Oreochromis niloticus: one gene and its partners. The protein of the gene in region 1 purifies or fractionates together with the protein of each later gene. This does not show direct contact. Links are inferred from orthologs where the notes say so. Each region holds a gene or a part of one and is shown in the gene's direction. Other genes may lie near its edges. The genes, in order: cdc27, cdc26, anapc11 and ccnb1.

The links.
Region 2: the proteins of cdc27 (region 1) and cdc26 purify together in Homo sapiens (affinity purification with mass spectrometry; 12 studies listed by BioGRID and IntAct, with this or other methods). This does not show direct contact. The link is inferred for Oreochromis niloticus from reciprocal best matches to the Homo sapiens genes CDC27 and CDC26.
Region 3: the proteins of cdc27 (region 1) and anapc11 purify together in Homo sapiens (affinity purification with mass spectrometry; 8 studies listed by BioGRID, with this or other methods). This does not show direct contact. The link is inferred for Oreochromis niloticus from reciprocal best matches to the Homo sapiens genes CDC27 and ANAPC11.
Region 4: the proteins of cdc27 (region 1) and ccnb1 purify together in Homo sapiens (affinity purification with western blotting; 6 studies listed by BioGRID, with this or other methods). This does not show direct contact. The link is inferred for Oreochromis niloticus from reciprocal best matches to the Homo sapiens genes CDC27 and CCNB1.

Annotation. Positions count from the first base shown.
Region 1 is NC_031969.2:35,400,272-35,408,109, reverse strand, and holds the start of cdc27 (cell division cycle protein 27 homolog), read left to right. Parts: upstream 1-4,818; 5' UTR 4,819-4,952; coding exon 4,953-4,991; intron 4,992-7,838. UniProt on the Homo sapiens protein: Component of the anaphase promoting complex/cyclosome (APC/C), a cell cycle-regulated E3 ubiquitin ligase that controls progression through mitosis and the G1 phase of the cell cycle.
Region 2 is NC_031972.2:38,212,796-38,220,312, reverse strand, and holds cdc26 (anaphase-promoting complex subunit CDC26), read left to right. Parts: upstream 1-4,993; 5' UTR 4,994-5,120; intron 5,121-5,132; exon of another isoform or gene 5,133-5,326; intron 5,327-6,536; 5' UTR 6,537-6,554; coding exon 6,555-6,635; intron 6,636-6,760; coding exon 6,761-6,973; 3' UTR 6,974-7,001; downstream 7,002-7,517. Other genes in the region: prpf4 (U4/U6 small nuclear ribonucleoprotein Prp4), read right to left, coding at 634-713, 794-881, 1,043-1,229, 1,425-1,596. UniProt on the Homo sapiens protein: Component of the anaphase promoting complex/cyclosome (APC/C), a cell cycle-regulated E3 ubiquitin ligase that controls progression through mitosis and the G1 phase of the cell cycle.
Region 3 is NC_031971.2:37,631,692-37,639,077, forward strand, and holds anapc11 (anaphase-promoting complex subunit 11), read left to right. Parts: upstream 1-4,560; 5' UTR 4,561-4,719; exon of another isoform or gene 4,720-4,723; intron 4,724-4,827; 5' UTR 4,828-4,836; coding exon 4,837-4,945; intron 4,946-6,335; coding exon 6,336-6,481; 3' UTR 6,482-6,884; downstream 6,885-7,386. UniProt on the Homo sapiens protein: Together with the cullin protein ANAPC2, constitutes the catalytic component of the anaphase promoting complex/cyclosome (APC/C), a cell cycle-regulated E3 ubiquitin ligase that controls progression through mitosis and the G1 phase of the cell cycle.
Region 4 is NC_031972.2:31,329,016-31,336,275, reverse strand, and holds the start of ccnb1 (G2/mitotic-specific cyclin-B1), read left to right. Parts: upstream 1-4,259; 5' UTR 4,260-4,397; coding exon 4,398-4,418; intron 4,419-4,663; coding exon 4,664-4,792; intron 4,793-5,739; coding exon 5,740-6,039; intron 6,040-6,124; coding exon 6,125-6,283; intron 6,284-6,390; coding exon 6,391-6,627; intron 6,628-6,714; coding exon 6,715-6,855; intron 6,856-7,260. UniProt on the Homo sapiens protein: Essential for the control of the cell cycle at the G2/M (mitosis) transition.

The DNA of each region.
Region 1 (7,838 bases):
GCCTGAGCTACAGCCACCACAGACCTACACCCTGTGAAATGAAACAGCGTTCCTCCGACACTCTGGTGCTACACATGACATATAACAGACGAACACAGGACTGCTTGAAGTGCAACGTGCAAAAAATGCAAAAAAACAAGACAGTGTAACTCTAGACAGAACAGGACGATACAGACACAAGACAACACAAGACAGTGCAATGGAAATGTGCAAAATGTGCAAATAGTAACCTGGTGTCTGAAGGTGTGTGTGTGTGTGTGTGTGTGTGTGTGTGTGTGTGTGTGTGTGTGTGTGTGTGTGTGTTTTTTGTCATTCCAGTCACTGGGTGTTCAGGAGTCTGACGGCTTGGGGGAAGAACTGTTCCGTAGTTTGGCAGTGAGGTACCGGATGCTCCGGTACCTCTTTCCAGAAGGCAGCAGGGTGGAGAGTGTGTGTGGGTCCTCCACAATGCTGTTGGCTTTGCGGATGGAGCGGGTTCTATAAGTGTCTGTGATGGAGGAAAGAGAGGCTCCAATGATCTTCTCAGCTGCTCTCACTATCTGTTGTAGGGTGTTGCGATCTGATACCAGGGGCGATTTTAGCCCATTTTTTGAAGCACCCCCAAAAATGGATCAAAGCACCCCCAAAGATTTCTTACTTTTTTGGAAAATATTTGCTGTTTGTGTGCCACACTACTAAAAATATAAAAAGCATTCAGTACTTGGTTGAGACGTAACATTTTAACAACAAAAGTATAGATACCCCCCCTCCCAAAATGGTTTGTTCCAGCTCGCCTCTCCCCTACTCTGGCTCTAGCACCGTTGCTGCCAGAGTGATGGTGGCTGACACGCAGCGGAGCGGAGGTGTGAGTGCTGGCTTAAAACAGGACATATTAGCTGCATTTAACCTTCACTTACTCTTTATATAGTTAGGTAGGAGTTAGGCCATGTTTCTTTTTAACTGAAAAACATTACACCCAGGCAACCTGCAGTGTTGGAAACGTGTTTTCCAACGATGTTTGCTACCCTACAATCCATCCTACTCTGTAGTAAAATCAGCGACATTTGACCGTCCTGTTGCTCCCATTGAAATTTAGCCTATTTAAAATCTAAAACTGAAAATTGTCCGTAGCCTGCTGTTGTTGCCACTGTCCTGTTTGAAGTGGAATGAGAGAAGCTGGTTATTTTGTCATATGTGCATGTGCCAATATTAAACCCAGGAGCCACATTCAGGTAAACTTGTAAGATTAAATGATCCGTCAATAAAGGATAATGTTGGATCAGTGTTTCAATATTTATATCTTTTATTAGATGTACATGTAGTTTGGTTATTTGCCATTTGGTTGAAAGTACACTGAGAGGGGACTTTTTTTTTATTAGTGTTCTTAATAATAATAATTTTTTTAATGTTAATGTAATTTTTTCATCTAATTGAATACAATCTATTTGTGTATGATTGTCAGTCCAAAGAGGGAGAGAGGAAAGAGGGGAGCGTGAGGAGAAAGTACAAGGTCAGGAAGAAACAGGTAAGAAAACAGACAGGGAACAGTGACATTCAAAACAAACTGTTAAACTGCTTGAGAGAGTTGACCACCAAAAAGTGATAGACAGATTTGCCAACCTCAAGGTGAGGCACATAGGTTAAATTAAAAGAAAAAATCTGCAGAGCCGTAGAAGTATCTGCAGTAAAGATCTTTTCATACATTGTATACATTGTACCATAGGCAAAGTTGCCTCCATTTTTATAATTTTTTCATCAATATTTTGTACATTTCAAGGACTCAATTTTTGGAGTGTATTTTTATATATCTGTATTGTATTATACATACACATTAAAAGTGAATCTCTGTCCAAAAAATGCACTCAGTTTACTTGTTACTCACTGTGAGCATCATTCATCATTTTCCCCCAGTAATTAAGGTTAGGATATGTATTTTTTTTATTATTATTCCAATCCATTCTTCGTTTGCAGCATTTAAATAACCTTTATCTGATTTGATGGTTTTGTTACAGACTTTAAAAAAAAGTGTTTTGCTTTTCTTTCACAAATATGGGGATTAAATTGTGTTAAAATGTACAAAACAATGATGTCATGTTTTGTGACGAGGACCCAGGCACAGAGAGACTTGATGAGTTTAAGAATCTTATGATTTAATAAAGAAATTTGCAGACTTGCACAGAACTGGTAAAATTATGATGACTGATAATGGAGATGAAGACAACAGACGATGAGGACAGGGAGGAACAGGGGTTTAAATGCACCAAAGAGACAGTCAGAGGAAACTCGGGACAACTGGAGACATTTAAGGATGCAGGGACTGACAGAGACAGGGAAGAAGTCTCATCGTGACGAGTAAAGTTTATCTTGCCTGGCTGGGCAGCTCTCTGGGTGCTCAGCACCCTCAAAGCTCTGATCCTAGAATCGCCCCTGTCTGATACGGTACAGTTACCATACCATTCACACACAGTGGAACTCACTGATGTCTTCACAGACATCTTCAATATATCACTTATCCAATATATCACTTATCCAGGCTGTCGTCCCCACATGTTTTAAAGCCACCACAATCATTCCGGTTCCAAAAAAGTCATCTCCCTCCTGCTTTAATGACTACCGTCCTGTTGCACTTACTCCCATCCTGATGAAGTGCTTCGAACGACTAGTCATGCAACACATCAAGACTGTCCTGCCCCCCTCCCTGGATCCCTTCCAGTTTGCGTATCGGCCCAACCGCTCAACCGATGATGCTATCTCCACTGCACTCCACTCAGCACTCACACACCTGGACAAAAAAGACTCATATGTTCGAATGCTGTTCATAGATTTCAGTTCAGCATTCAACACTATAATCCCCCAACAGCTCACTCAAAAACTGGTCCAGTTGGGGCTTAACACCTCTCTGTGCAACTGGCTGTTGGATTTCCTCACCGGAAGACCTCAAGCAGTACGGGTCGGCAGTAATACATCCAGCACCATCATTTTAAACACGGGGGCCCCGCAGGGATGTGTGCTGAGCCCCCTCCTCTTCACTCTGCTGACCCATGACTGCACTCCATCATACAGCTCCAACCTCTTCATCAAGTTTGCGGACGACACAACGGTGGTGGGTCTCATTAGCAACAGGGATGAGACCGACTACAGAAGTGAGGTGAGACGCCTGGCCACGTGGTGTGTTGACAACAATCTCTCTCTGAATGTGGAGAAGACGAAGGAGATTGTTGTGGACTTCAGGAGAATGCACACCCAACATGCTCCTCTGACCATTGACGGAGCGTCTGTGGAGAGAGTGAGCAGCACTAAGTTCTTGGGTGTGCACATCACAGAGGATCTCTCCTGGACGTACAACACCACAGCACTGGCCAAGAAATCACAGCAGCGTCTCTTCTTTCTCAGACTGAAGGACAGCTTCATCCATCAGGCTGTCAGGAAGCTTAACTCCCTCCCGATTCTGCCCCCTCTCCCCTCTCTCCTCCACGGTCTCACTGAACTCTGTCACACACACACACACACACACACACTCTCTGACTCACTCACTGGCCTGCACCAGTTATTAGTCACTTTGTGGAGCATTGGACCACCACTACCTCATAAGACTTTGTTGTTACACTATCTCCTACCGTACATTACCAAATCTCCATTTGCACTATTTGCCTATTTGCACTACCTTGCCTGGTTTACACCCAATGTCATTTACCCTTACCTGAATATTGTATATTGTATATTGTATAGCTTTTTTTTTGTTATATGTAAAATTGTACTGTATTTATTTAAATTTTTACTTTTTAATTATTCTACTTGCATTTTTAATCACTCTCTTATATTTAAATGTTCATTTGGGTTTGAGAGTAACGAAATTTCTATTCTCTGTATGTCCTGTACATGTGGCAGAATTGACAAATAAAGTTGACTTTGACTTTGACTTTGACACAAACACATTGATGGATGTATTAGGAGAAACTCGGGGTTCAGGATCTTCCCCGAGGATAGTCAATCTCCCCAAGACCACAACTGCCAGTTATTTAAAGCCGCCATTCTAAATGGCTCATGGCTTCATGTCAGCCAGTCTGCTGTTGCTACTAACCAGTCTGAGCACCAGGAGGCGACAGAACACTGAACACCGCTGTAATGAGTTTTACCACCAGAAGGCGAAGGAGATACTTCGGCTTTCTCCGTTTGACAGTCGTTCATGTCCGCCGCGGCATTTTCCCTCCTCGGGTATCTTCGGCGGTACTCGGTTGCTAACGGTCGGTATGTTCAAATGTTCGGCTGCAGCTCCTCCTGAGACTCAAGTGAAGAAAGAGCGGAGAGAAAAGAGACCCCCGGACCGGACAGAAGGAGTCTCAGAGCGGGATGACGGTGCTGCAGGAACCTGTCCAGGTATAAATACACACCTTTGGCTCGTTGTCACGCGTGGGGAGCGGAGCATTTATGAAGTTTGTGCCTGTCTCTGCGCCCCGGCCTTAGTGGTGGGTGCAATCCGTGGTGAGAGCGCTGTTCCTCGGCCGCAGGCCCCATAGAGGGCCGCTGACGGCACAGAGAGAGTTTTCTGCTATTATTGGTGGTCGTTAGTCCGTTAGTACCCTCTGTCACGGCCCGTTCGGGTCACGCAGAGCTTTTAATTTACACCCGGTACAACTGAGATATGTCATGCCAGCCACCTTTAAATATTTGTCAGATTAAGATTCCAGGTATTTCCGATCTAATTAAAGGGAGAAATTGGTCAGTTTATTTGATATTTCATGAATGGTTTTGTTCCGCACATCTTTTGGGCTCAGATCCAAAAAACGAACACGGTCTAATTTTAAAATAAAACCACCCGGAATCCGAACAGGTCCATCTGAAGAGGCCTGAGTCCGGCTGAGGGGAAATGACCCGCGGAGAGCGAACAGACCTCTTTAAAGTCAGTGTTTCACCGGAACCAGCTGTGGGTGGGTCACTGACTGTGAGCAGAATTTGTCATAGAACAGGGCCCGATGTTCTCAGGTATATCACGGAGTTTCAGATGTGTGCAGGTGAGAGTGCAGAGAGAAACGGTTGGATTTCAAATGGAGTTCTGTGTTAGCATGACTCGGTTAGCAGCTAACGCGGTTGCTAACACTCAGCGGAGTTTCAGTAAGGAGGAACTCTGCTTTAAAGTTCATAAAACGATCAAAGCCGCTCCTTGGGAGTCTGTTAATGTCAGAGTCTGACCGCAGATCAGCCGCGACAGATGAAGGTATCCCGCGGCCGTTAGACTCTCACAGCTAGCACAGGCTAATGGCAGCTAACTGCCCGGTAACATGAACCGCTGTTAGCTGTTAGCCGTTAGCTGCCATGTCAGCCGCAGACTGATGGGTAATGTCTCCTCACAGGTGTGTTTGTGATCTCACTCAGGTAAACTGTGACTGCAGAGTTAAAGTGAAGTGACGTCAGTAACGGAACAGCTGCAGTGATCGATCAGCGCATTGATCAATAACTTTCCTGAGCTTGACCCCATCGATAACAATCAGGCATAAACACGGCCCGTCTCACATGATGCCCTCAGATGTGTTTGGAGTACTAACCAATGGCAGCACACAGTGTTGCTCTAACTGCGGTATTGGCTATTGATTATGTATGGCTCGGTGTTAGCAGGTACAGGTGACACAGCCTTCATTTTAACCTAGAGTCAAAAACTGTTTACAGTCAGGTAAACCTGTACTGCTCGTAGTCCTTAAGCTTTCTACTGATCAATACCAGCGTTTGATCAATAACTGTGTGTTTACTGTTGAAATACACTGATTATAGCTGAGTGTGGGAGGAGATCACATTTGAGCTCCACAGCCAGTTTTTCCAGTCGTCTGGCTCTAAGGTCAGCATGGCCGCCTTGTGGTGGACTGAGACGGCTTCAGGTCCTTTTGTAGTAATACAGAGTAATGTAACAAGTTACTTTATTCAGTGAGTAACTAAATGAGATACCAAATTACTTATAAGAAAAGTAACAAGCTATCTCTAACACATTACTTTTTAAAAAATAAGAATAATTTCCAGCTGTTTGCAGTTCTGGCTCAGTTTGATAAATAATGTGGATTTAATGCAAAATGAATCTCAAAAGCTGGACAGATACACCAACACATCTGTGTGTGTGTGTGTGTGTGTGTGGAAACAGCAGGCTTACAGAAGCTCGTCTGTGTCTCCAGATGTAGAGGTGATGTGAGACACATCTGTGCAGCTGTGTGTCTGGTAACGAGGTGACTCGTGACTGAAGTTGGATGTTTTCTGCTCTGCTTGCTGTCATTGCATTGTTACAGTGAAGCGGGCAAATACATTTATGATGTCACTGCGTGTCGTTGTATCGTAAGTGGTGAGAACGGTGCTGTCTCTATGGAAACGAGCGGTTCTGCTTCTTTATCCAAGTTCAAACGGCCCAAATCTCCACACTCTAACTCCTCCCACCTCCTTTTCAGCGGCGTCCTCATCTTCAGAGTCTTGTCTGTCTTTTGGGACGTTGTCACTTTACTTTCCATTGATGTTTTCTGACGTCATTTCCTCATTCAAACTCAGGCTCCTACTGTTAGGACAGGTGTGGTCCTTCCACGCTTTGTGGCTCAGCCTATCCTGACCTGGCTTTGGTAGGGTGGGCAGTTGGAGGGTCGTACCAGTTGGAGCCCTTGAGCTCTGGATTCTGAACTCCTTGGTTCATAATTCATACATAAATCACTCGTACGTACTGTGACTATTTTGTTCCTTCTGCTGCATGGTTAGGTGCTGCAATCATCAAGGACAGAAAAATAATCTCTTTTTCTTCTTTTTTTTTTTTTATCACATTCCTGTTTTGGATAGAAGAATATGAACAAAAATGGATATGGGAATCTCATCCTCTTCCTCCTCACCTTAAGCCTCACTCCTGGACTGTAGTTGGGGCTCTAACATACCCATATGGAAAAGAAATAGTAAAAACTTATATGATTTACTCATGAAAGTGGCCACTTTCTCATTACTTTCATATATTGTTTTAGTAAGTATCCAAAACATACAAGTTTCATTTATATAATTTTTCAAGGGATCTTATATCTGTTTTCACTCTTGTATGCTTTTCATACAAGTTTCACACAAGACAGATACAAACTTTATAAGATTTATATATATCTTTTCCATATGGGTAAGAAATCCTACAAGAACATATTTAATCTCAACATTGTCACATTGAGTTATGGTCAGCAGATCAGACATGCGAGCATCTGAGACATGGCTGAACAACAGGATGATGTCACAAGCTGAGGTCATGCCAGATAACATTAGATTGTAGTGTCTTTAAACTAATTTCCCTCTGATCAACAGTTTGATTACGTTCTCACGTCATGAGAGTTTATTTGCTCAGTGCCACTGAGATAGATCCACTTCAAAAGAAGTTTCATATATGGCCTTGAGGAGAAGAGAAACTAACGGCAGCGCTGTACTCGGCAGTTCATCTCAGTGTCGCTGTCATCAATCACAACTGAGCTACGGCGACTCAGGGCTGGGATCATCACTGATTTCGACAACTGATTCAAAGTACCCGACTCGGTTAGATTCAATGACATTCTGACTCAGTCAGAAATGTCATGATGATGATCATATTTCTTGGATGTGTACTGTCAAAACAACCCTCTGAACCTTGTAAATGAAAAACATTTAATTCTAAATTATTTGAATGTTTCTCTGCGATTGCAAACTCAGTGTGAACTATCTGTGCATGAAAACAAAGTTGACACTGTGAGACTTCATCAGAGGTGTGAGCATCACAGCAGAGGCCTTTGTGTCAGAGTAACTGAGGACAGGTGTCTGTCAGAGGGCTAACACATAGACACACAGACAAACATTCACCCTTTGAAAATATTCTGCAGTAGATCAAAAAATGA
Region 2 (7,517 bases), on another chromosome or scaffold:
AGTGGTTCCAGTTTCAGTCATTGTGCAAAGGTACTGTTTATAAGGTGCCCGTTGTGATTTGGCACTATATAAATAAAACCACCCCTCTGAGGGCGGAACCAGGACACGCTGGAAAGATTACATCTCTGAGCTGGTCTGGAAACACCTCCCTGTCCCTGTAACTGGATCCCGGATAAGCAAAAGAAAATGATGGAACGAAATGAATCGACCCACACACGACATCCTGGCAGGAAATTTCTCTGAGTCCGTGAGCGTGTTCAACAATTATTTGACAGTTTTACTTTAGATTTAAAGGGGAAACCCAAGCTCGGTTACTCTGCTGCTTACATTTCTTCTTTTACCCGAGCATGTGGAAAGACTAAATTTAATATTACCGATTGGTTATTGGTTGTCATGGTGACATGGCTGCACATGAAACATAAAAGACAGCGTTCAGTGGTGAAGGTTAATGTGGATGTTTATGTATTCATCAGGCGGGTTTGAGACGGAGGGATTTTTAGCGCTTTTATCCTTCTGTAATACAAGGACTCAGTGTGGTGCCCTGCCTAGTATCTGTGAGAGGAGTCTGGAAGAAGCGGTGCACTCAGTGGTTCTCTTTGCTCCTCCTCCTCTCACGCTTTGATGATGACTCACCGGGGAAGAGAATATCTGGCCAACCAGAGCCGAGCATCCTTTAGGGAGGGGGAGCCTTCGTGGTACCATGTCTGCTGGCACTATGATTGGTCAGAGAGAAAATGTTTAGATCATGCGACCAGGTGTTCTGAAGCCCCACCCACAGTCCAGGTCAGCTGACCTCATCCTGCGACCTCTTCGCTCGCTCTTCGTCCTTCCTGGATTTCTTCAGAGCATCTGGACCGACCACGGACAGCACGCTGCGCAGCCTGAAGACATACACATGCATATGCATACACTTTTACTTCCTGTTTGCTTCCTGCTTCCTTCCTATCACACTGATAAAGTTTGACAGGGTTTTTTTTTTTTTTTTTAATTACTGCCCTAAAATGTTTCCAAGATGACTGCTGAGAGTGTTATTTTGCCCCACCTTTCGCGGCGGTCAGCTGGTCCCTCTCCAAACAACGTGATTGGCTCCCCGAGCGCACGGAGGCCAGCTTTCACCTCAGCGTCATCAGTGGACACGGTGATCTGTCGGGCTCGTCGCCGTCGCTCAAACTCAGCAAGCGCTTCCTGCTGCCGCTCACTGACCCGCTCTTCAATCTCCAGAGTCTCCCCTGCAGGGCATCATGGGAAACAGAGTTAACCAACTTCCTGCTGTCAATTAATCACAGATCTGATTGGGCAGATGTTATTGATCACATGATCAATCAGAGCCTTGACTGTCGGCACTGTGGTCAGCAGAGGGTGGAGGTTTTTCTAATGTTTTTTAAGAGAGATGTTATCAGAGAAATGGTGAACAAACAGCTAACCTGATGAGATGTTGATGTTTCCCGCCTCAATTCCCGCCCTGACTGCATCGCTTCCTGTTGCTGTGCTGCTTGCCACATTAGCGCTCAGACGCTCCCGCTCTTTCTCCTCCAGGCTTCCATAGAAAACTCTGCTCTTCTTCACGGCCGGAGCCACATCCTCCTCATCGGACATATTGACTTCTTTTTTCCGGAGAAACAACAAAAACACATGAGGAAGATACAGGTGACATTTTTAATGACAAAAAGAAAAACTGCTCAGAAGAAAAAACATTATTGATATAATGAGCAGCAGCAGAATGGCTGAAACTCAAACAATCACCCTGATCAGTAATAAGTGATCAATCAGCAATGTGAATCAGACACAATTCATACTAAACTTGAACACCTTTATTTTGAACTTCGTTTTTGAGCTGCTGTAAGTTCCTGCTCAGCTTCACTTGATGCTGTCGGTCAGACAGAATGACACGCTCACAATGATCAGCATCTGTTACAATGGTGAAATGATCTTAATACACCTGCTGACATGTTAATCTCACCACAGAGCTCCACCTCACTGATCTCCAGGTGTGGGTCACAGACAGGTGTTGCACCTGAGGCATGGATTTCCTCTCATCCAGGTAACTTCAGGTTATGCTGGGTTTCTGTACTATTAAGGTCGGAGACTTCCTCCTCATGCAACTCACTGTTGTAACTGATGGGATTTACCCCAGGTTAGAGATCAACAGGTATGAAATCACACCTACTGACCAATCACTATTCCTGGATGATCCCTCAGAGCTCTGCAGGGAGAGTTGCAGGGTGTTTTTCCCTGATCGTCAGTAGTACAAACCGGATTCCAAAAAAGTTGGGACACTAAACAAATTGTGAATAAAAACTGAATGCAATGATGTGGAGATGGCAAATGTCAACATTTTATTCAGAATAGAACATAAATCACGGAACAAAAGTTGAAACTGAGAAAATTTATCATCTGAAGGGAAAAATATGGTGATTCAAAATGTCTTGGTGTCAACAAATCCCAAAAAAGTTGGGACAAGGCCATTTTCACCACTGTGTGGCATCTCCCGTCTGGGGACCGAGGAGACCAGTTTCTCAAGTTTAGCAATAGGAATGCTCTCCCATTCGTGTCTAATACAGGCCTCTAACTGTTCAATCGTCTTGGGCCTTCTTTGTCGCACTTTCCTCTTTATGATGCGCCAAATGTTCAAAAAAGATCTGGACTGCAGACTGGCCATTTCAGTACCCGGATCCTTCTCCTACGCAGCCATGATGTTGTGATTGATGCAGAATGTGGTCTGGCATTATCTTGTTGAAAAATGCAGGGTCTTCCCTGAAAGAGATGACGTCTGGATGGGAGCATATGTTGTTCTAGAACCTGAATATATTTTTCTGCATTGATGGTGCCTTTCCAGACATGCAAGCTGCCCATGCCACACGCACTCATGCAACCCCATACCATCAGAGACGCAGGCTTCTGAACTGAGCGTTGATATCAACTTGGGTTTCTGCGCAACATTGTGGGAATTGGTGATCCTCTACCCATCTTGGCTTCTGAGAGACACTGCCACTCTGAGAAGCTCTTTTTATACCCAATCATGCTGCCAATTAACCTAATTAGTGTTAATTGGTCTTCCAGCTCTTCATTATGCTCAAATTTACTTTTTCCAGCCTCTTATTGCTACTTGTCCCAACTTTTTGGGGATTTGTTGACACCGTGAAATTTTGAATCAACATATTTTTCCTTTAAACTGATACATTTTCTTGGATTAAACTTTTGATCTGTCACCTACGTTCTATTCTGAATGGAATATTGACATTTGCCATCTCCACATCATTGCATTCACTTTTTATTTACAATTTGTTTAGTGTCCCAACTTTTTTGGAATCCGGTTTGTAAACACTCAGTTTTATTCTTTTCTAAGCATCAATATCTGAGCCTAAAGCCCCTTTTCCATTAGTACGACTGGTTTTCCATAACAATCGAGTACCACCTGATCTGTGTGATCGTCGTCACAGCAACGACGCCGAGTTTCCTGTGAAGTAATTAATAACCAACACGAATGCTACAACAAAGGTGGACATGGAGGCGACGATATACCTGCTGCTCGGTCTCTGGCTTTCAATTAGACTCAGGGAACGGGGCATTGTTTTTTGTAGCCATTTCATTTCGTTGCCTGGTTTCAATAATGGCGTTTTTGATTTCATGAACAAGACGCTTTCATGACTCATCGAGTGGTACCACTGAGCAGCCAATCAGTGGCATGCAGTTTGACGACGTCACATTTAAGTACCTGCTTGGAACCCCAGCCCAGCAGGTATTATAAAAGTACCTGGTACCAGGTACTATGACCTGATGGAAAACCCTTGAAACCGTGGCGAGTACTAATGGGAAAAGGGCTTAAAACACCTGCGCTGTCCCTGCTGACGTCAGGTCAAGTCAACTGAGAGAAAAACACTGTGTTAACGTTTCTGGATTAAATTATGTTAAGAGTCCACGTCTCACGACCCACAAGGATCTGTGTGATGGCCACACTCAGAGCTGTTCCAAACACCAATGAAAGGAGCTTCAATGCTTCCTTTACTGAACAGATGAGACACTGGAGCATCCTTTATGAAAGGGAAGGAGCGACAGACTTATCTGACTGTTCATGAAAACAATCATATAAAAACCAAAGTGGAGCAGAGCATGAAAATGTTCATCATAACTTTTCCATTTCATCCATAAGCTGCTGATATATTCATAGTTTTTAACAGAAGCTGATAAACTCACAGCTGAACTCAGAACATCAGACTGCTGGAGAACTACCTCCTGTTGAGTTGTTACTGCATGAAGAACAGATTTACATAAACACTCTAAACATTAAGATCTCTATGAGCTGCTCACTAAGTTTTAGCTTGTGAATATTCATCCAGTTGTAGTACACTGTGTACCAGAGTTGCGCCTCTTTCAACGTTTAAGGCATCTTCAGTAAATCCAGCAGACTTTTAACCACCATCAGTACATCTGAGCCTGAATCTTTGTTCTTTAAAACTCCACGCTGGGTTTTTTTTAACAGGCAGCTGACCTGGCACAACAAAGGCCTTCGCAGAATCAGGCTGAGAACATGCTGTGTTGAATTCAAATTGTATTTGTAGTCCATCCTCTGAACTTTTGAGTTTCAACACCGCGGACATGTTTACAGGCGCCGCTCTAGGTGACCTCTGACCCCGTCCCCGTGTTAGGGTCAATGATAACGAAAACAGAGATTCGTAGTTCAGACCTCTAAGCCTCCTCCTGCAGCTCTGCACCGATCAGTAATCGGTAACTCCTCACTGTTTCTCACCTGTGAGTGTTTCAGGTAAAGCTGTGCAGTCAGCGGAGTCAGCGCGACCCCGGAGCCTCTTCGAGGGCTGAGTGGCGGTAACACGCCGGAGTACGAGCTAACGGATGAGGGGGTAGAGCACAGTACGGCTGATCTACGCTTGGACGTTTGCCTCACCTGTGCAGTTGAACGCAGCGGCTCAGAGTGCCGTTAAACCGTTGAATGAGACATACTTACCGGAGGAAACGAACGACGCGCCTACGCGGAGCTTCGTGACCCGGAAGTTCTGAAGTGTCTCCGGCTCAGAGGTTGCACACTTCCGGTGGACACAGCAGCTGCAGAAAATAAACAGAGAGAGAAACGGCGGGAAAGAGCATTACAACTCGTATATCAGGTACCTGCACACCTGTTCACACTGAGGGTATCCGCGAGGACTGTCCGTTACCGGTCACTGTAACGTCACTGCGACTTCACTTTAGCGCAGCTTAGCTTAGCTTAGCTTAGTTTAGTTTAGTTTAGCTTAGCTTCTGTGAAATCCATCTGCGTGCGCACAGTGCGCATGAGTGGCGACTTAAGGAGCGGAAAGGTCAGGGGTCAGAGGTGAGACTGTTATAGCCAAGGTATGTCAGCAGCCAGTCAGATGAGACCTTTAAAGGTGTCTTTATAACCTTCAGGGCATCCTTTAGAAAAGCAAGCGAGCTAATGACTGAGTGGTGATCAGTCGCAGGAGATATTGCTCCAATTGATCATTGAATCACGAAGTGACTTCTGTGCAGGAATAGGTGTTCTCATGGTTTTTCACAGTTTTTCAGGCTGCTGGTTCTTTTCTGGTGTTTCCTTCTGCTGCCATCACAACAGCAGACCCATAGTACCATCCACACTCATTTGACTGACCAATCTGAGAGCAGATCATGCTACTGGTTCCTGTCTAAACGGCAGGTGTAGTTTAGTTTCTATTGCTTTAGAAGCAGCTGGATGCCCTGAGCTCCGCCCTGAGGCCCATACCCCGGGTATCTCTCGGTTACCCTGACGTCAATAATCAGGAGGAGACTTCAGGAGTCAGTGTTGCCGTGGTGATAAGTTACCTGGACTCCTGCTGTGGCTTTATATCAATACGTTCATCATCAGGATCAAACACAGACATCAAACAGTGTGATCAGTGATTCTGATAACAAATATCAGGAAACATTTTTTAGATCTGATCGATCCTAATTATTGATCTGATGGAAACGATAACTGATACTGATTGCTGTTATTTATCAGATTTCAGAATAAATTAAAGCTTCTGTGTCTGAGCAGAAATAAATGATTTATTGATCCTTTAACCTTCATCACTTGACTTTTCTCCTTCCTCTGAAAACTTTTGAAGTCAACCTGCTCAATATAGGCATCATCATGACAACAGGAGTTGTGGTCTTCTAAGGTTTTATTTTGAAATTACAGGCGGCTGCTACGGCCTCATGATATTCACAGTAAAAGCACAACAGCTTGTTTCTTTTTGTGCCACCATCAACTTTAGAGGCTGTAAAGATAACATAACATAAGATAAGATAAACCTTTATTAGTCCCACACATTGGAAATCTTTTGGTCACAAAAGCATCTGGAAACAGGAGGGGTGACTTCAATAGAAGCGTGTGATATTTTATTTTGAAAAGGTTCAGGAAATGTGTGCAGTAAATCATATTCATCAGTTTTATAGAACATTGAGCTTGGAGGTGAATCATTTTCATCAGTTAGGATGTCAAAAAGCAAACAGATACTCTGTTGTAATCTGAGTACTCAATCGATATATTGATCATCTGCTTTCAGCGTGGACACAAACTGAAAATGTTGAGGAGGAAACCGACTCGTCTAGAGCTTAAGATCGACGACACTGAGGAGTTCGAGAGCGTCAAGAAGGAGCTCGAGGTCTTCTCACTTTAGTACCAATCAATCAGTAACAGTCAATGAGAATGAATAACAATCAGTAACATCTGAGACTTTAAAGGAAGTAAACTGCAAACAGGACATTATCAGGTTTTCTTTTTCTTTAGGCCAGAAAACGTCAGCGAGAGGAGGCAGAGTCGGGAGGTGGAGTGGGTGGGGGCTCTGTAATTGGTGTTGATGTCATTGGGGGTGGAGCCTCTGCCTCCGCATCGTCCTCTACAGCCACATCAAGGGCAGAGCTTATCAATGAGCGAATCGGCTACAAGCCCCACCCCAAACCGGCGACCCTGCCAACCTTATTTGGAAGTTTACAGTTTTAATGATGAATAAAGTTTGAGCAAAAAAATCTTTGGAGTATCATTTTTTTTTACATGAGCAAACATAAACAATGTCAGAGTGAATCGGAACTGTAAGAAAAACATCGTGACCAATACAGGTGCTGTGTTGTACAGCGGTGAGGTGCCAAATTATGTTTATGGGGAGGCACAACTTTAGACTCATATGTATTCACAGTGACACGAGGCCGTCTCTGGTGCTGTTTAAGAGTTTACATTTTTTGCTCGATTATCATTCAGTGTACAATCCACTAAAAAAAATGTTTTTTTCCAGTCTGGAATCATTTTGATATTAAAATGCTAAATAGGGTCAATATTTTTCTTTCCCGTTTCCTCTTTTAACTCAGATGAGAACTGAGCAATTAAGTTCCAATTGCTTTTTTTTCAAATGTATTAACATTATTTTATTTGCACATAAATGTGTCACATACAACACCAGCACTAACATTGCACATTTTTCACTTATACTTTCTCGTAAATTCTGCATTTGCATCATCTTTTTCTTACAATCAACTTAATTTAAATAAAC
Region 3 (7,386 bases), on another chromosome or scaffold:
GTCTTTTTCTTTTTATGTCTGCGCTGCACCGCTGGGCCACCGTCATCACGGGTGCTGATTGCAGATGAACTTTTTCTTGTGTACAGGCAGACAGACGGGCAAACTCGAGTCGGTAAACGGCTGAATTCTGTGGCACCACCGTTTCTTGTCTACAGACATTTTGTCAGGAGAGAAACAAAAATAATTTGCCAGATTTTCTCCTCGACACGTGTTCTGTCCTCGTAGTAAGGGATGCACTGACTGTGAAATACTAGGCCGTAATCCAGCACTGATACTGACATTTTTTTTTTCAGTATTTATTTTGTTTTTGTTCTAGGTGAAATGAAAAGAAAAAAAAAAACTTTATTTAAAAAAAAAATGCATGTTTTAGCTCTTCATGGAACAGTTTTTGAACATTTAGCCAGCGCAAAAGTCAGTAACGCCATCTTATCAGCTGATACTTGGCTGATTCATCGGTGCATCCCTACCTCATGCTTTGAAAATATATATAAAAAAATAATCTTAACGTGGAACGGCCGCAGTTACTTTGCTTTCTGTCAAGCGTCTGCACATTTGAGGAACTCAAGTTAAATGAAGCAGTCAAGGAAATGCCTTGTCACTGATTGGTGAATGTGCTACTGATTGGCTGGCGCTTGCTAACCAATGAAATGCCTGAATTTGGACGGTTGTGGTCAGTTGGGTGGAACTGCCATCGTTACTTTTCCAGAGTGATGTAGATTTCAGTGTGCTTTAGGGGTGAATGTTTCTTTGTGATTTATCATTTGACAGCGCGCCAGTAGACCACATCGATACTGTACAAGTGCTAGTGTTGGTTTGTTTGTGTTTTGGAGACAATTGATGGGTGAAGTGGCATGGCGGCCTGCCGCATGCTCACGCGGTGATTGGGTTTACGGATCTCTTATTTAAGATTTAAGATATAGCCATTTTAAGAGCCATGTGTCAATGAATAATACCATTTTAGCCTTTGTAAGCATCACTTAGTCACCACTGTAATAGACAAGCGATCGTGAGTCGAATGAACATTTCATTTTCTTTTTTAAAACGTGTTCTATTTGGTTGATAAGCATTGATGACTTCGCACAGATCAGACTCCCCGTCGAGGGCAGAAATGTTCAGCTTTGCCAAGAGTCATTGGGTGCTGTTGCCATGGTTACACAGTGCAGCTGACAACAACGGCAAAAAAATAAGAGGGGGGGGGTTTCCTCATACATATATGCACACAGATGCCACACTGGTTGTTGCTCTTCACTGTAATGACTTCACGCAGCGCCATGTTCCTCGGGCAGCGCACATCTGCACACGATCACGGATCATTGTACCTCGCTGAATTTTCAACAGATTTTCGAGCAGTTTGGGTTACAAACGTTAAAACTTTGTTTATGATACATGTGCTGAAACAGTTATAATGCTTAATCTAATGTTACAGTCCGGCAGCTGCTTCTTTGTGATACTCTGCTGTAAAAAGCAACAGGATTACTGCATCACTTTAACGTGTTTATTGTCCCGTCAAAGTTTGACTTGAAAAGAGAGCTGCAGATGAGCCAGTGTTGGTCTTTCTCTCACTCCTGCAGTCTGTCTTTATTCTGGGACTCTTTAACCAAAACAAGTCCCCCTGAAAGCAGCTCTGTAGGTTTCTGTAGCTCACATGACTCAAGTCTTTCTAGAGCATGTTGGAGCACTTGGACCGAATATCAGATCAAATATTTAATGATAAATAAAATATGAATCTCCTTTAGCTGATATAAGACAGTCGGGACTACTTTTTGGTATACCAAATTAAAGACATTTGTAACGGTAAAACAACTGTGGAAAGTTGGTTTTAGCATTTCTTTCACTGAAACATCAAAAAGAAGCACAAAAATTTGGCGTTATTTATAGGACTGGATGACAGGAAATGCTCAGACCTCGTGAGCAAGACAGCTGTGGCATCTGTGTGTTCATATTTGTTTTCCCTCCTACGAAAAAAAAAAAAATAAGGACCCTGCCTGTTTTTGATACACAAAACTGCTTCTTTTTTTCCTTTTTTTTTAATAGTTACTGGTTAACTTGTGGTATCTACATGTCATTAACTGCAATAACATGAATTGTTTTACTGAGTGGCCCTCTTCGTGATGAGGGCTATGGGTGTGTGATGGGGTAAAGGGGTGAATGTTAATTACAGTGGGGGGAGGAAGATGCCTGTAAAATGTGTTTCTCCACTCTTCTCTCTTCCTGCTCTAAGACGGCACACTTGACTTCACCTGGTTATTCCTTCAGGCGATTTGATCTTCATCTTCTCACAGGTTCGACTGATGAGGCAACAGTTCAAACCTGACTACTGCTTTATATTCCTTTTACTATTCTCACACTTTCACACTCCAGTTTTGTGTGTAGATCTTAGAAAGCAGAGTGGACCTTTTTTGAATTGAAGCTGTAGGCATAAGTAAGTGTGCTCAGATGCGATGGGTTTTCATTTCCATTTCAGTTCATTCTCTTGAACACCAGAAATTTCACCTGCCTCTGACTTTAGCTGTTGGAGGGTGAGCACCTCTCACCAACATCTCACTGAAAAATGAGGGCTATAACTGTCTGTCGTGACTGTTCATCACATTCATCAGTCTCTCTGCTCCCTGTTCATCTTTGCATATCTTCTCTTTACCTTTGTGTGAGATATTGTGTAAAAAGGATGTGTGGATTAATGAGAAAATGGTGGCTTTACGTTTTTCAGCATTAAACTTGAATTATAAGAAACTGCAGACTCCTGTCACGGTTATTTAAGTCCTGTATTAAAATGTTTTTATTACTTAGAACTAAAAATTGCTTTTACATTCCTTGCAGTCATCTGTTAGTGACATGGTGATCTGTGAAGTTACAAATACGGGCCTCATGCTGCATCTCCAACTCCACTAATGATCAAAGGTTCTCTGCACTGAGTGACCTGCATTTCATCACTGAAAGTTGATCATCTCAGATTCTGTAAAATGGAAATGGTGCTTGTTTCCCTTAATGTAAAAATAATGTTAGAAAAAATAGAAACGGATACATAAAATTTTAACAAGATGCAGGAATAGAAAGTGTACACAAAAATGTCCGGGAGAAGGAAGACCAGATGTGCTTCCAGTGCTGTAAGTGTGAGCATTACCTCAGCACACTGGATTGCAGACCAACTACATCTAGTGGACATCTAGCATTACAATTGCTTGTAAAGAAAACAAAACAAAATGGAGACGTGTCAAGGTTTTCATGTATGTGTGCATATTTGTCCTCAGCTCGCTCTTAGCCCATGACTGCACATACACCAAACCAACACCACTGTCAAATTTGCTGATGATGGCAGGTGACGAGTTCAGCCTCTGACTGTATGATGTTGTCACAATAATCTGGACGTAAACACAGCAAAAAGCAGAGAAGCAATGTAGACTTAAGAAACCTGAAGCATACCGAGCACTCTGCTCCAGGCGTACAGGTGGAGGAAGTGGAGAGCTTTAAGTTCCTTGGTGTGGACATCCTGGTCGATCTCACCCACACCACACATCTCCCATCGGGTGGGGAAAGGCTTTATATCCTTAGGAAGTTAAAGATCCTCTCTCATCACCTGCTGACCAGCTTCTCTCAGTCAACAATAGCGGGCCTCATCATCTATTGCTGCACGGTGTGGTTCATCAAAAACGGAAAAGACCTGCTTGGGTCATTCCAGACGTGTGATACTACCATCCCTGAGTGAGATTTACGCAGGATGAGTGCAAAAAAAACTAAGTTTAATGGATACATCCTCAACATCACCTGAAGCAATGCCACAGTCCTCTGGAAATGGTTCTGCTTCTGATTGAGCTCTAACAGATTACAATAGATTACAAATTACAAAACAGCTTCTTCCCACAGGCAAGTCAAATACATCCCCCCAGTTCTTCTCCTATTCTACTGCAATAAACCCCTACCCCAAGAACTACAAGTGAATTAACCCCTGTCCCTCTCATTCTTCATTTTTTGCACTGTATATTATAATCATCATGCACTATTATTTTGCATATACTACCTCGCTGTTTGTATCCTTTTATTTTCATATTCATGCTCTTGTCTGTTTTGATGTTGCTGCGAAAACTAGTTGTTTTAAACATTAACAATAAGGATTTATTTATTAATTTCCAAATGTGCTGCTTTTATGTGCACATTACAGATTTATTGTTGTACAAGTGTCCATCCTGCAAATATTTCAATTTCAATTCTGTTTAGCCCCTTAAAAAATCATTGTTATTATTTCTTATATTATAGAAAATATCAGGTAGGTCCAAATGAATGAGATTGCCTCAAATGGTCAATGATAGAATAAAGGTTCATTAAAATAAGTATGTTTGTCAAAAAATAAGCAAGTGTAAACATTAGAATGACAGCATCACCTTTTCAAAATCGTTACAGAGCTCGTGAAACATCTGGCAGGAGCTCCTTTGTGTTACTAACCTGATGATGTCAGGATTGTTTTCTTTAAAATCAGATCTTTGGTGCTCTTTTATTTTGAGGTTTCCCCCCATCCGACTGTAGAGGGCAGCATGCGCCATCCCGGGACATAGCCTGGCAGTCTTTCAACAGAAGAAGAAGAGACGATTTTTGCCCGGGTTGCTAAAACATCACTTTTATGTTGTAGACTTCAGTCAAACAAGCTCTAAATGATTTGTTTTTTGCTAAGAAACGGACTAACCTAACGAGTGTGAGATACCTGAAGGAGACGGTGGTCGCTGCCTTGTACGTAAGAACGTGTTGCTGAACATTAATATTCAGAAATCGTGTGTCAACATTAGCTTTCGTGCTAGCGTTAGCTGCTCCGGTGTGATGCTTTTGTGCTCCTGTCAGATCCGCAGGATGAAGGTGAAAATCAAACAGTGGAACGGGGTTGCCTCCTGGCTCTGGGTGGCCAACGATGACAACTGTGGGATCTGCAGGATGGCCTTCAACGGCTGCTGTCCTGACTGTGAGTATCAGAGCTAATAACATAGCATTAAGTAACGAGTGTCCGCATTAAAGATGCAAACATAACAAAACAAGATTATTATTTTGGTGGTTTTGCTTCTAAAACATATAACGCTTTACGTATTATCCGATCGACAATATGCCAAATTTATCCTGCCCCTCCCGTTTGTACAAACTAAGTAGTGAGAACGATGGCAGAGACGGGAAAAAATCACCACTCTACAAAAAAACTTTTCTACAAGCTGTGGAACAATTTTAGAAAAATGTTCCTCAAAATAAAATTGTAAAGCCTCAGAATATCGCGTCGTCTACAGCACATAGTATCTGTGTGAAGGGGTTAAGGGCAAAAATCAATAGGATACCTGTGATCTTAGGGCTGTACTGCATTTAAAACAGACGCGATTTTGTCATGGAAATCACTGCAAGGGCTCAATAACATTTCCAGAAATCACTGTCAGTGAAGACAGTTTTACCACAAATATCCACAAATCCAGGTTTGTGTCATCCAAAGAGCAAACTGTATGTGAACATGATCAACATCTCCTCTGGGCTCATTCAAAATGGACCGAGGCAAAGTAGAAAAACTGTTCTTAGGTCAGATGAATTGAAATTTGAAATTGTACTGGGTCACCACATCCTCTGGACTAAAGAGGAGAGGAACCTTCCTGGTTGTTAACAGCACAGACGCTGTTGACACGGTAGCATGAAGGAAAAGGTGTCGCTGTGAGAGGCGTCTGAAAGATATTAATTTGGGATATTTGTGGGAGAGATTAACTTCTTGTGAAGCTTGTCTGGGCTCAGCCTTACAGACAGGATGAGCACTTTAGTCAGGAGACGCTCAAAGCAGAACCTCAGCTCCTCTAGATCGAAAGGAGACACTTGAGGTTGTTCTGGTGGTGTTTCAGGCATGTCCAACTGGGAGGAGGCCCCGAGTTAGGATAAAGAGCTTCCACCACCACTTATCACAGATAAGTTGCGATGGAAAATGGATGGATGGCTGCTCCAGTGACCCATCTTGGAGATCAACTCCAGCTGCAGTGTCTTGTAGTATTGTCCGTAGGTTCTTTAGGTTGATATTGAAGACCGCCACAACAGCAGCTAGGTCTGTGAGCCACTCACTGGAGAAAAGGCAACACGGGAAAGGTCACGGGTAGCTAGTTAGCAGCAACTCAACTTTCAAAATAAGAGCAAATGCCTAAATTGATCGGGGAATGGCGCTGCTCACACAAATGGATGAAATGAGTTCTTAAATATACTTAAGTGGTCTGTGTGGGGAAACACTTGTTTTATCCTCATTTAGTATTACAAGAGGATACAAGTATCTGCTAATCAGCAACTGAATGCAAAATCCTGCCCAGTATCTCTAATGTGTTTGTTTGTTTGTTTTGCAGGCAAAGTGCCTGGGGATGACTGCCCGCTGGTCTGGGGTCAGTGCTCCCACTGTTTCCACATGCACTGCATCCTGAAGTGGCTGAACTCACAGCAGGTCCAGCAGCAGTGCCCCATGTGCCGGCAGGAGTGGAAGTTCAAGGAGTGAACCTGTGGAGGCGTCGCTGCCACAGAGACGAAAGGCTCGCTCACAGACTTTTATGTAGACTGTAAATAAATCTGTGTTGGTACTTCTACTAATGCAGAACACACGCTGAATATGTTTTATTCTACTGGTAAGGATTTGTGATTAAATTAAATAAGAAAAAAAACATGCATTGTATTGAGTCTGTCTTGAAGGTCTGGCTGATTATTTCCTTGGATCGTGAAGTTTGACTTTGATTTCATGGCAGCTCCACACTGATGTATTATTTCTTGTTTGTTTGTGTAGCTTTTCACTGTAAAACAAAGACTGTAGCTTTTCATATGTCAGAACCTGTCTGGATAAAAATGGAAAAAAAATTTACAAGGTTATCAAAACAATGCTGATTAAATATCTTCTATTCAATTTATCCCTTAACTCTTGGACGTCTCCAAAAACATAAATTGTTTAAATAAGGTCTTAAATAACTTAAGTGCTCTTTAACAATTATTCTCTAAGTCTGCATCTCTGCTGGAGCCACTACACACCATACTTTCAGAAGATATCCTCTTATTTACTGACACACTGGGGTTGGAGACATTTCTGTAGATGAGCTTAGATCTGGGGACTGTGAAGGCCGTAGCAGATGATTCACATCATTTTCATCCTCAAACTATTCAGTGACCCCTGCTGTGCTGTGGCGGGAGATGACTCCCATCCGGATCCAGGTGTTTCATCAAGAACAAAGGTGGTCCAACATGATCACTGTGTAATGATTTGCACTGACCGTTCCTTCCAGTGCTTTTTATTTCACTCCTCACTCAGGAGCCTGTATTTTTGTCATCAATGATTAATAAAATGTTTGTACTGAAAAATTACAGTCAGTCATTCTAGATTTGCTCCATATTCTCACCTGGCTAAAGTAATTTAGT
Region 4 (7,260 bases), on another chromosome or scaffold:
CCTCACTAATTAAGTAAGCCAATTTTACACCAACGTCGACGTTACTCGTTTTGGAAAATGTGCTTTTTAAATGGTTTGTAGCTACAATTAGTCCTAGGCTGAGACACTTCCCGAAACAACTAAGTTACTAACCAGCAGACTGCGGTTTAACTACTCGGTGTTGGCTTACCTTTTTGTGCCACAGAAACGCTGTTTTTTCGGCTAACAAAAACACCTGAATTTCTCTTGTAGCTGACTAACTAGGGCCGTCTAGGTTTAATCGTCGCTTGTGCCCTTTTCTTTTCGGTCCTCTCTCCGCCTGGGAGTGATGTTAGTTGCTCCCGCTGACGTCTTCAGTCTAGGAGAGGTAGTGGCATCTGTTTAGTTTTACGTGTTACGTTTGCGTCCTCCCTGCCTTCCGGTACACGTCATGGAAATTGTGATCTTCTGATTGGAGGGCAGGGTTGTTGGCGAAGAGCCACTAAAGATTTCAGGACAGAGCAGTCCTGGTTTCTACAAACATACCCTTACCCCACATAAGCAAACATCTATGTAGGAAAACAGATTTCAAAACATCAACACAGCACTAAAAGTAATGAGAGCAGACAAAAACAAAACAGTACAAAACATGACACATCCAAACTTCCACAGGTGCTGCTGTAGTGATTTCTTTTTAAAAGTGGTAAACACTGGTCTTGACCAGCATTAAAAGGACCACTTTGGACTCTTCCTAATATACATACAGACAGACAGAACCGGTACACTGATGACACCCTCACACACTGAGGAACATGTAGCAGTTTTTGTCAGAAGTTTAAATACACAAATTATGAACATGAATGTCAAGGTAATTGTGTGCTTTTAATGACTTATTTGAACTTTTTATAATTTTACAGTGTAACTCTTTTTGTTTAAAAACAAAAACTGGGTTCACAAGTCTGAATTTATTTTAGATTTAAATTCACACAAATGGTAAATGGTAAATGGCCTGTATTTGTATAGTGCCTTACTAGTCCCTAAGGACCCCAAAGCGCTTTACACATCCAGTCATCCACCCATTCACACAAACATTCACACACACAAGATCAAATATACTTACTAAATATTTTAATAAGTGACTCTAAAGGTTCTACAGTGTACGTCTTGTACATTCTTGTAAAACCTGTGAATGTCTTGTTAGTGATCAAAAACACTGGGCAGAGTTGACTCAATTACAGCATTCATGAGTCAAGTTTAGTGCATTTATTTACAGCAGAAACACCAGGTTGATACATAAAGGTAGTGATGGGAGGAAAACAGGGGCTCCAGGGATCCAGGGAAATGAGCATCCAAACAATCCAACTCTCCTCACTCACTTAGCTCTGGGAGTCTCTCCAAGTGCTCATTGGGTTGTTCGCTGATGGAGAGGCAGCGACATAGAAGTAGGGCAGGGCAATATGGCCAAAAATATTTATCACGATATATATTTGAAAATTTGCGATAACGATATAACTGACGATATAATTGACGCAAGACAAATTACTTTACAACTCCACAACTTTATTAGTGCAAAAAAAACCCCATCAATGTATTTTCACTTAAACAAGCAGCTGTTTTTTATGTGCATTGAAGCTATATAAAATGTAACAGTGCAAATGCAAATTCCTTGCTGACAGTTTAACCAAAGGGCATTTCCAGGGGAAACTGGCCAACATATCCTGAGCAATACCATGTTTAATAACCACAAAACTTAAAAAGAGGTTATACACACACAATGCGGTAATATTATGTTGAAGCACAGTACATATTACTCTGCGAGGATCCCGACTACGGTAGCCGTAATGCTCCGACAATCCATCAAGCAGTGCGGCTTCATAGTTTACGAAAGTCGTACTAAAACATTTTTTGACAGATTTTTGACCGCCGTGTACCACCTAAAATCGGTTCGGTAATATCGGTAATAACGGTAATAACGACGGCCCGCTTGCATGCTCTACCAAAACATGTGCTTATGAAAACAGAGGCACTGCGCATGCGCGTTTACCCATATTCAAACGGGATATTTCCTTTTCTTATCATTGCCTAACATTATACAGGTATTACCGTGAACGGTATAATATGGCCCAGCCATACATAGAAGTGTCAGGACTGGCGGTGTGGTGTCAAGAAATAATAATTCTCTAGATGTAGATAAGACCAAAGAAATGATTACATCACTGAGGCAGAGATATAGAGAGTAAAACCCTTTAAATTCCTCTCTTACTTGGTCTCAAAACACTGAGCACCTTCTGAAAAATTCTTAGACGACTGTTGGAAATTTGGCATGTCAACCAGAAACTTTTATACATGTAGAGCTAAGAGCATCATCGCTGCCTCAGTTACAGTGTGGTGTGGAGGCTGCACTGTTCAGGACAGGAAGGCTCTCCAGCGTGTGAGAAAAACTACACAGTACGTCACTGGAGCAGCCTTCCCATCACTGCCACTCTTTCTTGAGTAAAGTGCAAAGTACATATAAGGTTACTGGACTTTTGGTGAGGTCTCATTGTGATTCCAGCTGCTCAAGAGCCCTGGGTCTTTATTGTACTTTTTCATAATGGGTCTAATGTTTTCAACTGGCACCTTGCCTCAAATGACCTCAGTAGCTCACAGGACAGCATACTGGGACAATGTTTTACAGAGTTTCACACCTTGGCACCAGTGATGGTAATGGTCCAGGCCTTTTTTCACAGTAGGAAAACTCACATGACTGATATCGTGGCAACAACCACAAGGACGACCTCCAAGAGAACAAAAACCATCCTGGATCAAACCACTGGGACTCTACGTCACTTGTTTTAGAACTGAAGAAACCTCTTGGATGACCAATAAGAAGCCCAGTCGCCTTCTTTTCAAGCACTTGAGACTGCCATGATATGGATGACTTGTACCCTTCTTTCATGATAGGGCTTGAACCTGAATTTGTGGATGACACAGTGAACTGTGTTTACAGACATTGATTTCTGGAAGTGTTCATGAACTCATGCAATGATTCCCATGACAGAATCATGCCTGTTTTTAATGTGGTGCTGCTTGAGGGCCCAAAGATCACATCTATTCAGTATTGATTCACAGCCTTGTCCAGTGCCACAGACATGAGTCTGTAGAGTCTCTGAGCTTTTTCATAATATTATAGTATGCACTGTAGATGATGACCTTCACAATTTCACAACGAGTAACTTTAATCTGAAAGTGCTCCACAATTTGTAAATGCAGTTTGCTGCACATTAGTGAACCTGTGCCCATCTTTACTTCTTTGAAATTCTACTTCTCTAAAATGCTCTTTTCGTACCCTGTCATGTTACTAACCTGTTGACAACTAACTTTTTTTTTATTAACATAAAATCTTACACTAGCTGTTTTTCCAGCCTTTTGGTGTCTCAGCTTTTGTTGTCCCAACTTTTTTTTTGAAAAGTGTTCCTCCCATCAAATTCAAAAGAACCTTATTTTTTGGTAAAATGGTACGTTTATGTTTCCTGTGTTCTGGTGTAAATATAATATGGATATATATGATGTGCATCTTATTGCATTCTGTTGTTATTTATATTTTACACATTTATTTATTTTGATATTTTGTAATTTGGGTTGTAGAATGCATCTACTTATTGCCAAGGAGATAAGAGTCAACTTTACATTTATGTATCCAAGTGAAAAAGCAGAGTGTATCTACTTTTTGCTAAGTGGATATGTTTTACTTGGTGAACAAAGGCATTTAAAGATACACGGAGATCTAAAGCGATAAATACTGTAGCTTATTTAATGGATGACAAAAGTAAACTGTTATATTGTGAGTTGTGTGAGAAATTCCATCTGAAATGTAGACTTTTAGAAGCTATAACAGAAAAATAAAAGCAAAACCAGCCTCTATCGTTCAAGAAGGCATTTTTACTCTTAGATGTCTCATGTACTAAGGCAACTTTGTATGGTAGAAATTGACTTTTATTACACTAAATGAAATAAAAGAGCTATCAAAAATATCATGTTAAAGAAGGTCTATCATACTCAAAATGAAAGAAATTGTGTTCTGAACGAATTTGAGGCAATAGAATTTAAAGTATAACGATAAAATACACTTTTAGATTTGATTTCCTCTCCCTCCTAAAGTGACTTCTTATTAATTTATTTACTTGAAATGCAGAGAAAAAAAGAAAAAGAGAAAAAGCAGGACGTAACAGGAAAAGGAAATGAACATCAAGAAATCAAATCACGTGACCATAAGTTGTCCGGGGAACGCATTTCAAACAGGTGCGTTCGACCAATCAGACGCCAAGGAGAGTCTTAGGTCAGCGAATCAGCTATCAGCGAGCGAGGATTTAAACCTCGCTCGCTGTTCCTTGTATCTATACCATACCGTTCTCCATTACGACTCTTCGCCTGTTTGTTGAAGCATCGCTTGTTTCGAAATGGCTCTGAGAGTGACCCGGGTTAGACTTTTTCATCTCTATTTGTTGCTTTTATTTAATCGTTGCATCTGGGGAAACATTTAGAAGCGCTTTCTTTAAGTCTTTTGCTTAAAAAAAACCAAAACAAAAACGTAGCTTTCGTTTGTCGCTTTGGGATTTCTTATCATGGAGCAGGTCGATAATAAGGGTTTCCGCTTAACTAAAAGATAAAAGCGTGCAAACTACTATAATCATTGTGGATTTTCTTTTTTCTCTTTTTCCTGCAGAATCGCTTGGCTTCCACCAAGGTCGACCTCGGTGGGAAGGCCTGTTCTGTGTCTGGGCCCACGCAGAAGCCACGAGCAGCCCTGGGGGAAATTGGTAACATCGCAGTTAACAAAGACACACAGAAAAAGGTAAGTATTTGATCCTGAAATTAAATGTTTTTCTGTTAAATCTATGGAAAATGGTGGGATTTTGCAGTGAAATCATATGGGCACAGTGACTTCCAGCTCTGATGTCCAAATGGTTAAAATGGCCCGAGTGGGGCCACACTTGAAACAACGGGCACAAAATGCTGAATTGAGTCAAATCGGTGGCTAAGGTGGACAAAATAAAACTGGTTTACAAGTTTCTTCAGAAACAACTTCCTGTTAGGGTATGAAAGTGTTCTTTTAAACTTGTTTTTCCCCTGGCACACTGGGCCTTGACTACACATGGAACCAGTTATTAGTCAGCATTTAGCCTCTTGCTCTAAAAGAAGCCTACACATTTTCCTGCTTAGATTCTCTAATTTAAAAATATACTTAATCTCAAACAGAACAGGAAAACCCCTGAGAGTACAATGTGCTCAGATGATTGACTTAAACTGACTTAACGTGGTGCATAACTAAGTGCTGTTTAGACTAAAATTCAGAGGGCCTAAGTGATTGTCTTAAAACTTTATTTTAACCTTAGGGAGCACTTCAGATGGCTGCAGGACTGCTGCTTAAATGGGGGCATTGATAACAAGAGAACTCACACTTGCATGTCGCCCTCTTTTGGGCTACATTAAAATAGCAGCATAACATGCCTGCAGGAGTTTGTTAGCATGCTTCCTGCTGTGAGTCTTCCAATTAAGAGCGTGCTGGGAAAAACACTCAGTGGGTTTTGGTTGTAATTTGTCTGGCAAAACTCAAAGCTCTAGACGGAAGAGGAACCACAGCTTAAAATGAAATTGCATAATTGCTAGATTGTTTAAATGAGGCCCAATCATGCTGGGAACCGATCTCTATTTGAAAGTACCACTGAATTGGTTCTATATTAAGATTATTTAGCCTTTTCAGACTACTGACATTTCTGGCTTTAACGTGCTTTCCCTTAGACTGTAAAGACTGAAGCCCTCAAGAAGACCAAAGTTACAACCAGAGCTGAAAAGGCTGAACAGATCAAGCCAAAAGATGTCATTTCTGTTAAACCTGAGCCAGAGGTGCAGGCCCCACCCGAGCCGGCATCTCCCACACCAATGGAGACCTCTGGCTGCGAGCCTGCAGACCTATGCCAAGCGTTTTCAGATGTCATTCTGCACACTGCTATCAGGGACGTCGACGCAGATGACTATGACAACCCCATGCTCTGCAGTGAATATGTGAAGGACATCTACAAATATCTCCGCCAGCTTGAGGCAAGCAACTTAAAATAAAGGAATTTAAAGTGGGAATCTTGGGCTACTTTCCCCAAAGAGCACTAACCATTTTTTGTCTACTCAGGTTGAACAGAATGTCAGACCAAACTATCTGCAGGGTCAGGAAGTGACAGGCAACATGAGGGCCATTCTCATTGACTGGCTCGTGCAAGTAAATCTGAAGTTTCGTCTGCTGCAGGAGACTATGTACATGACCGTGGGCATCATTGACCGCTTTCTTCAGGTGAGTGAATCCTGGTTCTTCTACTTATAAATGCTGTTAGTCCTCCACTACACCGTTCCACCTTTCATGGTTTTCATCTCACTAATGGTGACTATACCTCCCAACAGGACCATCCAGTCCCCAAGAAACAGCTGCAGCTTGTTGGAGTGACTGCCATGTTCCTTGCTTCAAAGTATGAGGAGATGTATCCCCCAGAGATCTCAGACTTCGCCTACGTCACAGACAGGGCCTACACCACAGCCCAAATCAGAGATATGGAGATGACCATTCTGCGGGTGCTGAAGTTCCAACTGGGTCGTCCTCTCCCCCTGCAGTTCCTCAGAAGGGCCTCCAAAATTTATGAGGTTTGCAGCATATCTGGTGTCACAGGAAGTGCTGATGGGTTACAGTTTAAGTGTTCGTGCATCAACTTCTCGTGCATCTCTTCACAGGTAACTGCCGAGCAGCACACTCTGGCCAAGTATCTCCTGGAGCTCACAATGGTTGACTACGAGATGGTCCATTTACCACCTTCAATGGTGGCAAGTGCCGCTTTGGCACTCACCCTCAAAATATTGGATGCTGGAGAATGGGTAAGTGCATCTGAAGGGTCTCGAAGGTTTTGGTGTCTGGGGGAGAAAAAAAGTGTACTTGGTGCCCTTGCTAAAACGACAACTAGGTCTGAAGTATTCAAGTCGTTCTCTTTTAAGAACAGACCTATGAAACAATGTCAAGAGTGTAATCCATAATTGAGTGCAACAAATAGTTGGCATAAAGCTGAAGTGGCATTGTTAACTTATTGCACTTCCTGGCAAATTAAATGATATGGGTGCAACAAAGCTTGTCTGGCCTTTGCTTATCCCTGACTTTAGACTTCTGAGCTGAATCTATGCAGAACCTACACAAGTGTCTGACATGATTGCAAGAATAAACTTGTGCAGGTTATGGTTGCAAAATTGCAACAATGGGTTTTATGGAACGGTCATGAGAAACTTTCA